Nothobranchius furzeri: one gene and its partner. The protein of the gene in region 1 purifies or fractionates together with the protein of each later gene. This does not show direct contact. Links are inferred from orthologs where the notes say so. Each region holds a gene or a part of one and is shown in the gene's direction. Other genes may lie near its edges.

What was found. The genes of interacting proteins can lie anywhere in the genome.
Region 2: the proteins of rbm28 (region 1) and rexo4 purify together in Homo sapiens (affinity purification with mass spectrometry; 3 studies listed by BioGRID and IntAct, with this or other methods). This does not show direct contact. The link is inferred for Nothobranchius furzeri from reciprocal best matches to the Homo sapiens genes RBM28 and REXO4.

Annotation. Positions count from the first base shown.
Region 1 is NC_091744.1:71,909,932-71,915,060, reverse strand, and holds the end of rbm28 (RNA-binding protein 28), read left to right. Parts: coding exon 1-36; intron 37-133; coding exon 134-207; intron 208-309; coding exon 310-445; intron 446-569; coding exon 570-634; intron 635-728; coding exon 729-887; intron 888-962; coding exon 963-1,112; intron 1,113-1,313; coding exon 1,314-1,388; intron 1,389-1,465; coding exon 1,466-1,574; intron 1,575-1,897; coding exon 1,898-2,027; intron 2,028-2,230; coding exon 2,231-2,345; intron 2,346-3,908; coding exon 3,909-4,046; 3' UTR 4,047-4,286; downstream 4,287-5,129. Other genes in the region: leptin-like, read right to left, coding at 4,874-5,129. UniProt on the Homo sapiens protein: Nucleolar component of the spliceosomal ribonucleoprotein complexes.
Region 2 is NC_091756.1:33,914,848-33,919,705, reverse strand, and holds the start of rexo4 (RNA exonuclease 4), read left to right. Parts: upstream 1-1,814; 5' UTR 1,815-2,055; coding exon 2,056-2,253; intron 2,254-2,326; coding exon 2,327-2,631; intron 2,632-2,714; coding exon 2,715-2,861; intron 2,862-4,858. Other genes in the region: pigp (phosphatidylinositol N-acetylglucosaminyltransferase subunit P), read right to left, coding at 19-134, 243-361, 449-521, 1,278-1,359.

The DNA of each region.
Region 1 (5,129 bases):
AGATCGTTCTCCACCCAGATACAGAACATTCAAAAGGTGAGTCAGCAGTACTTGAGCTGTTGCCTTTCTCTTTGTTTTTTTTTTTAAAGAAAATAGCTCATTGACTTATATCGGCCTATTAACATTTTTTCAGGTTGTGCGTTTGCTCAGTTTAAGTCTAAAGAAGCTGCAGATGGTTGCATCGCTGCAGCACAGGATGAAGCGGAGGTAGGAAATCTAATATAGATTCATTTGTAACCTTTTCCTTTGTTTTCTGTTACTCTTTGACATAATTGGTTGAGTTGATGTTGCATCTTTGTTCTAATGTAGAAGGGTGGCATTCGTGTGAACGGCAGAAAGCTGTTGATCGTCACAGCCGTGAGCAGAGACGACGCCACGAAGCTGAAGGTGGATCAGAAGAAAGTACAGACGGGCAGCAGGAACCTGTACCTGGCCCGAGAGGGATGTGCGTGTGTCATGCTGCTTGTTTTTCACTCATCTCTCTGATAATGTGACACTATTTTAATCTGATTAACAGTTATGCTGAAATGCTTCAAAATTTTTTTTTACGTTCTTGTCTGAATCCTCAGTGATCCGTGCTGGAACCAAGGCAGCAGAGGGCGTATCTGAGTTAGACATGATTAAAAGAACCAGAGTGAGTACATGCCACACATCATTTCTTGATATGAACGATCAGTTTCAGTCTTAAATTCCCCCTTTTTCCTAATTGTTGGTGCTTTTTTGTTTAGTTTGAGGAAGTAAAGAGGGCTAAGCTTCGGGACATTAACGTGTTTGTGTCGAAGACTCGTCTGTGCATCCATAACCTGCCCAAGTCGGTGGACAATAAAAAACTCAAAGCGCTCTGCCTCCAAGCTCTGAAAGGTGTCAAAGGAGCGTGGATCACAGAGGTGAAATTACGGAATGTATTTAAATTTTAAATATAGATTTGTGATCTTGGGCTGATCCTGTGCTGCTTCTTTTAGTGCCGAGTCATGTACGACAAGAAGCCAGAGAAGGGTCAGGTGACGGGACAGTCGTTAGGCTACGGGTTTGTTCAGTTCCGGGACCATGAGCAGGCTCTGTGCACTCTGCGCTACCTGAACAACAACCCTAATATCTTTGGCCCTCAAAAGGTAGGTTTGTATCATTTTTAAATTACGTGTTTAGGCTTAAATTATTCAATTTTTTTAAAACATCATAGCGATTAATTTGCAAAGTCAAAATATGTCATTTTTCCTCCTTATTGTAAATCAAAGATACAAGAACTTGTGGATCTACCCATGAAATCAGCATCGTTAGTCTAAAACAACTTCATGTTTTGTGTTTTCCTACAGAGACCAATTGTTGAGTTTTCCCTGGAGGATTCAAGGAAGCTCAAACTCAAAGATATCCGAAAACAAAAACAGAAGGTATGTTTTTAAAGTTGTTTTGGGATGGTTTACAGCTTCAAATCTCAGTTTCTCAATAGAAACATTTATGTTTGCAGGATTTCCTAAAAACTCGGTCTCTTAAGGGGGAAACAAAGAAGTCCCAAATATCTGCAGAGGTCAAAACACAAACAAAAGGTGGAAATAAAGCACAGTCAGAGCACACAGGTAAGGCAGGAAGTGGAACAGAGGAATTGTCCAGTGACGTTTGTGCTTCGGTGACATAACATTCCTAATATTTGCATAAGATAATAAATCCATTCAGTCGTTGTGCAAAAACTGTTGAAGTGGTTTGAAATTAAAGCTCTTGGTCATCGTTGTCTAAAATCAGTTTAAAATAAAAAGTTGGTAAACCCTTATTATGTTTTGCTCACTTTTGCAAATTTTTTACAAGTGTGCACGTCACATGCAACTCGTCTTTTTAATAATGAGATAAATAAGAGTCCACATGGCATTAGTAATAATTATATATTGTTTATTTTCTTTAACAGAAGAAGAGAAACAAATGAAAAAGTTTTCAGGTTTTCAGACCAAACCTGAGGTCGAGCATGTGGATTTACAAAATGGAAAGAAGCGCAGGAGGGTTCTGCCTTTTCCTTCTCACCGGGGACCAAAGATCAGGTACATAATTTCTAAACTCTTTATAAGTTTGTGTTTATCTTTATAAAACTCTCAATAAATACTATAATTGAACAGCTTTTATGAAGATTTTACTAAGATAAATCTGTTTTATGTGTTGTTCTCTCTTTTGGTCTACATGCTGATTACAACAGACTAATGCATTCTAAAGTCAAAAGTAAACCGTTGATTTTTATTCTTTGCAGAAAACGTGACAAAGACAGGAAACAGGCCCCACCTGCTAAGAGTCCAAAGCCTGGAGCTAAAAAGAACAAACAACCAAGACAACAAACAGAAAAGCCGAAGCAACCCAGAAACCAGGTTGAAATCATTTCTATTGTGTGATTTATGTTTAGTTTTTTTCTGAGAGCGTCATAACAAAACATGTAACGCACAGGTTTTCCAACAGTACATTTACCAGGTATCAAATCATAAATGCTTTTTGGCTTTTAATGTTCAGATTAGAGTTTAAAATTGAAATATAGTTTGTGACGGTTTTTTGCTTCCAATCCGAGTCGTTTGATTTTGAGTCTCTGCCCCTACCGAGTCCCGATGCGATACTTTTCAGCAAAGCATTAAAATAAGAAGTAAAGAGGTTTTTTTAGGAGTTACACTGATAGACAAACATGTTAATATTATGAATATATTTAAAAGTAGCAGCATTGCTCATATTTCAAGTTGTTTAATCCCTCAATATATGGATGTACTGAGCGATGCACGTTTTCATAATGGCGCAGGAGCCCGGCGCCATGCCAGCAGGGTAACGTTTTCCTGCAGAACATTTGTAACCACCGTGGGCATCTCAGGTGCTACAGGGGACTGGGAAAACACAATGCTTAACAGCCTGTTGGCAATTGTTCTTTGATTATTAGCGTGTCTTTCACTGTCGGCTGGCTCCACGTTCATCGCAGTGAACTGGGACTGTTATTGGGAAACTGGGACTTAATGGAGACTGGTGATTTTCTTTGGTGACACCTAAAGGGAAAAGCTTAAAGGGAAAGTAGTTTGTTTTGAAGGCGGCGTATCAGATTCATAGTGTTGAACGCAGCTCTACATTTTCACCAAATTAAATGCTCAGATTGCACACATCACAAGTGTCTGTGACACTTCATCTGAGGCCAGTTTAAAACGCCACCAGAATAAAGACATTTTCACGCTGCTGAGGAGACACGTTAGCTCTGCGTTAGCCAGCTAACAAGCAACTACATGTTATGGTGTCTGAATCCCTGTTTGCTGTAATCGTGTGATGTTACAGTGTTGTTTTCGTCTAAGAAACAAATAATATTCATGTAGAGGAACTTGTTGGAAATAAAACTAAATCTTTGTTATTCAGTTTGAAAATCTCTTAATCAGGATGAGTTTTAAAAGTCATGTTTGTTGTTTTAAAAGCTCAAATACAATCGTTTAAAATCTCACGATCGGATCTGAGCATCCCAAGTTCAAGATGTTACATAGATTAAGCCTTAAACACACACCACTAGTCATTAATTACAGGTAGTTATCCACTAACTGTTTGACGGGTTTATAGAAGTTATTCATTTAACTGAAAATCACGGATAAAATAAAAATCTGGAATTAAAAAGTACAGAAAATGTTTCTTTGAAGTTTTTTCCTTTTCTCTTGAATCATCTTTAAAAATATTGAACAGCAAAATTAATCTTGAACTTTCTATGGACGAGTTATCTGATAAAAGTAAGCTTAGCCATGAGAAGTTTTGTTTTTCAGATTGGTTGTGTGATGCCATAAGAATGTAAATATTCAACAACTAGACCATTTTAATGGATAATTTTCAAGATTAAAAAATTGGCAATTAAGTAGATTTTTAGTTAATTTAATTCCTTAAGTGTGAAACCTTCTTATTTCTTCTGTTTTGTGTGTTTTCAGGTCAAAGTTGCTAGGAAGCAGTTTAAGAGGAGGGATGGAGACCGTTTTGAGTCTCTGGTGGAGCAGTACAAAAAGAAACTGATGGGCAGCAGCAGCCAAAACAACACAGTTAAAAGAAACAAGTGGTTTGATAACTAAATACCAGAGTTTGAGTGAGAATAGTGGTCTGTAACTTTAAGATTTAACAACACAAAACCGCTTTTATGTGATAAACTGTACAGGAAGTTATCTCCATATGTTATGTTTCATTCAGATCTTTTCAGTGATTTTTAAAGCAGTGTCAGTGTTTTACCCGTCACTGCAACAAGTAGATCATGTAAAAATGAGTTTTTGTGTACATGTCTTTTTAAAATATATATAAATGAGAAAAAAAAGTCATTTGTTTCCAGGTATTCACGTCATTTATTATTCACGTTATTCTATTGATCCGTTTACGTGGACGTTTTCTACACAACACCGACAACGAGGGTTAATATTGCATCAGTTTTGTTGCAAAAGTTACATAAAACAGAACCAATTGAAGAAAAACATATTTAACCTCTTTGGTTTTAAATAGTCAGTTTGGAGCACATTGTTATTGCACAATAGGGAAAGTTGCCCTTTATCCGACTGGTTCCTTTGGCTCTATACAAACACATCTGCTGATAATAAAACATTCCCACCTGGATCACTGGAAAGTCCAGGGATGAGAGTCCTGCTCACATAATTTCCTCTGCGGTCAGTCTTCTTAGTGCTGAATCATCTCAAGTTGACTCAACAGAGGTAACATAAGACATATTCACAAATATCCTTATGTGCAAAATATATATTAAACAGATTAAATATTGCAGTTATGTAGCTAAAAAACAGTTAGGTGTTAAAATACACAGAATAAATAATTTATGTATGAAAATAAGTGCATGTTTTTCCAAAACCTTGTAAAAATATCACTAAACTCAATTCAGACGTTGATCTGTGTCCATTTTTCAGCATATTTCTAGAAGATCCGGGTTTTTGCGTAGCTGACCGAGGACCTCCTTCACTCTCATAAGAGCCACGATGCTCACAGTGTGAACGAATCGTTTTTGGTTCTGCAGGTGCTGAACGTTGGTCGTGCTGTCCGTTGGTACCAGAGGCTTACTTGGCTGGTTCCTGCAGTGCTCCAGTCTCCACTGATTGATGTAATTTGTCAGATCGGAGATTTCAGATTTGACTTGGGCGACGCCATCAAAAGTGTCAGAG
Region 2 (4,858 bases), on another chromosome or scaffold:
AACAACTCAGTTTATCAATTATGTTTCAGGGGACAAATAAAACATTCTGTTGACCTCACTAACGGACACATCTTTAAGTCGAGGAACTCCGCCTTTGCAGTCGCTGTCGGCCCTCTGGCCTTGTGCGAATACATCTGTAACACAAAAACAAGACAAAATGTACACTAAATATTTAGTTTTTAAACTGCTATTTGACACTTATTCCTTTCATAGATAACAGCTGGGATGCTATCAGACCTCACCTGTGATGTTGTCCACAGAGTCCAGTGGAGCAGTGTTGGTCATGTTTATCCCAAACAACACCAAAAATGACACCGATATTGCAACCAGCAGGTAGATTGGCATTGCAAGAGCCCAGTATCTGTGCAGAACAGGGAGTTTTTGTTAGAAATCCCAAATGCCAAATGTCGGTGGGAAATCTGATCTGGATTTTAAAGGTGATGCAGACTTTTGAGGCCAGTATGTGAGTCCAATTGAATGCAGCCACTCCTCTGGTATAAATGCCCACAAGCAGTACAGAACTGTGGAGAGGGAGGAGAAATATAGTTATTATTTATCTTCAGTCCCTTAAATCACAATTACTCAGTGAGTTGGGAAACTATAGCTAGCATTTGACTTTAAAGAGACTGCAGGCACTGATTTATGTCAGCAGGTCATGATGTGCATTGAGGAATAAAACATACGAGAAGCTAAATTATCATAATAAATAGCCTTTCTTCTAATAGAAATAATCTAACCTCACATTCAAATGTGTGATTAGGAGTTTAATCAAATAACATTTCTTTAAACAGTCGAACATTTGTTTAAATTGAACACGGACACTAAATAATTAAACTTAAACATGGTCAATCAGTCATATGATGGCTGCCATAAAGGTAGAAAAGAGCTGCCACAAAAGCAGAGATGTCCAAACAAATAGAACTGTTTTTGTTTTAGGGGCATTGCTGCTTGGACGCTAACCCTGACACCACACATGGGAGTTGTGAAAAAAAATTAACAAAGGTGTATCCTTTAAAGTGTTGAGATCACCGCTGTGTTTTGTCTTCCATCTTTACTTGTGTCAGCTTTTAAAAACACAAGACAAACGTAAGATTGTGTATTAGCTAGGATGAATATAAAAAATAAAACAAAACACTACAGACACATTTACAGGTAAACATAAAGATCATTTACTTCTGATTTTATACAGGAAGAACAGTCTTGACCTGTCACCTAAAAGATGCGTTCTAGTGTGTGTGTGTGTGCAAAACAGAATAAAATAATTATTTTTGACTTACAGAAACCAAACTGTGAGCCAAGGAAGAGAACAAACCCATAAATAGCTCTCTCGGGGACAGGAGACGGAGAGTTTTCAACCATGATCTGAAACCAAACAGGAAGCAGAGGAAATAAGCAAGCAACACAAACCAGAGTCTAAAACATCCTTAAATACTTCTGTCATCTTACCTCAGTTCATAAAATTTCCGAATTTTCACAACATTTGTGCCCCTACGTTTCTAAATAACGAGTAAATAAAGCTGGATTTCTAAAATAATACTAACAGGAAACATTTCCAACAAAACCTAAGAACAGCTGCGAGTTTGCACCAGCGTTAGTTCGGTCGGAAAAATTTCCCGGGTAAGCAGTTCCGCTTTTGATACACTAGACAAAAATATGACATCAAATTAAATTGTTTGAAGATTTACTAATTTATATGATTTAGTACATATTTACAGAAAATAAACATTTGAATATTAGAGTGCTTTCAAACTATGTAGAACGTTTCATACTGGGATGTCTTGTTCATATCGGACCCATTTGGCTGTTGCTCAGCCGGGAAAACGAACGCAGCATGGCTTCGGAATTTGCGAACTGAACGCAGAACCACGTTTATCTGCTGTTCTGTAAAAAATGAGCTGCTTGTTTACGTTAGTGTTTTATTTTTGATGCAGATTTTTGGTAAGGAGACATTACTTTAAGTGACAGCGGTAACAGCCATTGTCTATTGTTTTTGAAATGTCAGCATGGCTGACAACGTTTAGTTTAACAACTTCTTGTTAAAAAACACTTTCCATAATGTCTAAGGCGAAGAAGAAGAAAGCACATTCTGACCCTAAATCCACAGCTAAAGTTAAGAGGAAGGAGTTTTGGATAAAACACAACTCGAAAAACAAATTTCAGAAGATTTCAGCTCCTCAGAAGCACCAACCTCACCTGCCTACACCTCCAGAGGAGGCTCAGCAGTTCTCCTCTAACTGGAAAGCTCTCCAAGAGGTTTGTCTGTGCATCAGTGTGATGCTGGTGTGTATTTACAAAGTTAATCTGATTTTTCTGAAACCTTCCACAGATGCTAAATGCCAGTAAGCCAGAGAAGAAGCTCCCTGTGTCACCCAAACAGAATGTCTTTCCAAAGAAAACTTTAAAAAATATTCCCAAGACTCCCAGTGAAAAAGACAATGAGACTAAAGTCAAGCACACAGTTGCTCCTAAATTTGCCATTCAAAAGGAATCAGAGGTGAACTCTGATGTTCCAGCTGCCTCCAACACTCCGCAGCCAGCTGCTCCTAAAAGGAAACGGGACAAAGGAAAGTCCAACAGCGAGCAGAAAGCCAAGAGGAATAAACCAGTGGTAGAGGAGAGGAAGCCTACAGAGTGTGTACACCGTACTGATTTTAGAAGACATTGTGGACCAGAGTAGTTTTGTATTCCTAACTCTTTATTGTGTTTTGTTGCAGGGACGATCTTTGGTTCGATGATGTAGATCCTGATGATGCTGAGGAGACGTTGGGAGCAGAAGCTGCAGAGATCCTGAGGAGGAAACAGGGCAAACACCAGAGCAAAGACACAGAGAGCATGCTGGTGAAGGAGAAGTGTTTTGAGGGGTGAGTAGCTGTAAAAACAAGCTTCCTCTAGTGTGAACGCTGGACAGGACTTTATTTCCAGGATATGACTGACCACACGTTGTGTGAAACATTTAAAGTTTAAAAGGAAATTTTTTCAAGTTTGGCGCTAAAAGCTAAAGTGTAGTCATTGGTGGACACCCATTCCAAATTCATTCCTTAAATTTTGGATTTATGACTAGAACCACAAGTACTAGAATAGACTGTGCTGAGTATCAAAATAAATACTAAACCCAGGACCTTCTTGCTGCAAGGCAACTGCTCTATGTATACACATTTTAAGAAATAAAAAAAGAAGTAAAATAAAAAAATCTAGTCGAGCAGTGATGGGAATAACAATGTTTAAAATAACGGCATTACTAAAAAAATAGTTTTTTTTAATAACGAGTAATCTAATTATCGTCTTCTTTTATCATAACGCCGTTTACGTTACTGATAAGAAAATGCGAGCGTTAGTAATTCAGCAGCGTGGTGTGTTGAAGCTGTCAGCTGCTCGGGAGCTGAAGAGGCGGATGTTTTAATCCAAGTGCATCACGACCCGTGAAGAACGAGGAAGACGTGATGAATAGTCTACGGCTGCAGATCCGCAGATTCGCTGCTGCAGGCGTGAATCTGCAGCCGTGCCCTTCTTGCCGTGACAGCGGGACGTCCCGAAGGTCCGCTCACCTGTTCACCGCTCGGACATCACGATCTTCTACCTTCCTAGATCACCCAACTGTAACTTGTTTCTGCTCATTTCTTTAGCCCTGCTGTAACACTGATGCATCAGTCTCAGACGTCATGGTGCTCAGGTGTTATTAGAACTACCTGTGTGTCTTTACCACCCAGCTTCTGTGTTTGGGTCTGATCCAAATTAGTAAATTTAAGTCCTCCATCAGATTTGTGCCACTTCTAGTGCCATTTTAAAGGATTTATTTATTTATTTAACCATTACTAGATTACCAGCAACAGAAATGCTGCTAAAAACACACAATCATGTCAAGCTGGAAAAATGAGAATATTTTGCAAAATTACATTTATTACAGTAATTTGACTAGACTGAGAGACCATTTAAAGGCTCAGTAACCTTTACAGGTGTTTCTGTTTGCAATTATAAACTTTAGCTGATTGGGGTCTGGTTAAATATCACACAGTGACATTTTAATATTCTAGATTGGTGTAATATTCCTGTTTGTAGTTCCTCCTGTTAAGAGCCCATTTATTTAAATGATCCAGTTTTATAACAAACATTTGGACATATAATTTATTATGTTCCAGTCATTAGTCAGTTATAGTTTAGTATTGTAGTAATTTATAGTAAACTAAGTAAGTTTAATTAAGAGGGGAACCCATTTATCTTGCATTCTTTAATGAAAAAATGCAACAAAAATTTTTTTTTTTGGTAATTAGTTACTTTTATAATCTTGTAATTCGGTAAGTAACTGAGTTATTTTTTTGACAAAGTAAACAGTAACTATAACTAATTACCTTTTTAAAGTAACGTTCCCAACACTGGACATAGGTACCTACTGATGCATTTTATTTAAAATTTACTTGCCCGTGTGTAATTTGGTCATACCAGATTCAGTATTTATGCAAAAATAAGGTTGTTTCCAAATGAAAAGGTTCAACAGCTAGATCTGAGACCATGGTCTTGAGTCAGAAAAGGGTAGAATCCCTTTTCCGGGTCAGGGATGAGGTCCTGCCCCAAGTGGAGGAGTTTAAGTATCTCAGGGTCTTGTTCACGAGTGAGGGAAAGATGGAGCATGAGATCGATAGGGGGATTGGTGCTGCGTCTGCCGTGATGCGGGCATTTTATCGATCTGTCGTGGTGAGAGAGCTGAGCCAGAAGGTGAAACTCGATTTATCAGTTGATCTATGTTCCTACCCTCAGCTGTGGTCATGAGCTTTGGGTAGTGACAGAAAGAACGAGATCACGAATTCAAGTGGCTGAAATGAGTTTTCTCCGCAGGGTGTCTGGGCTCTCCCTTAGAGATAGG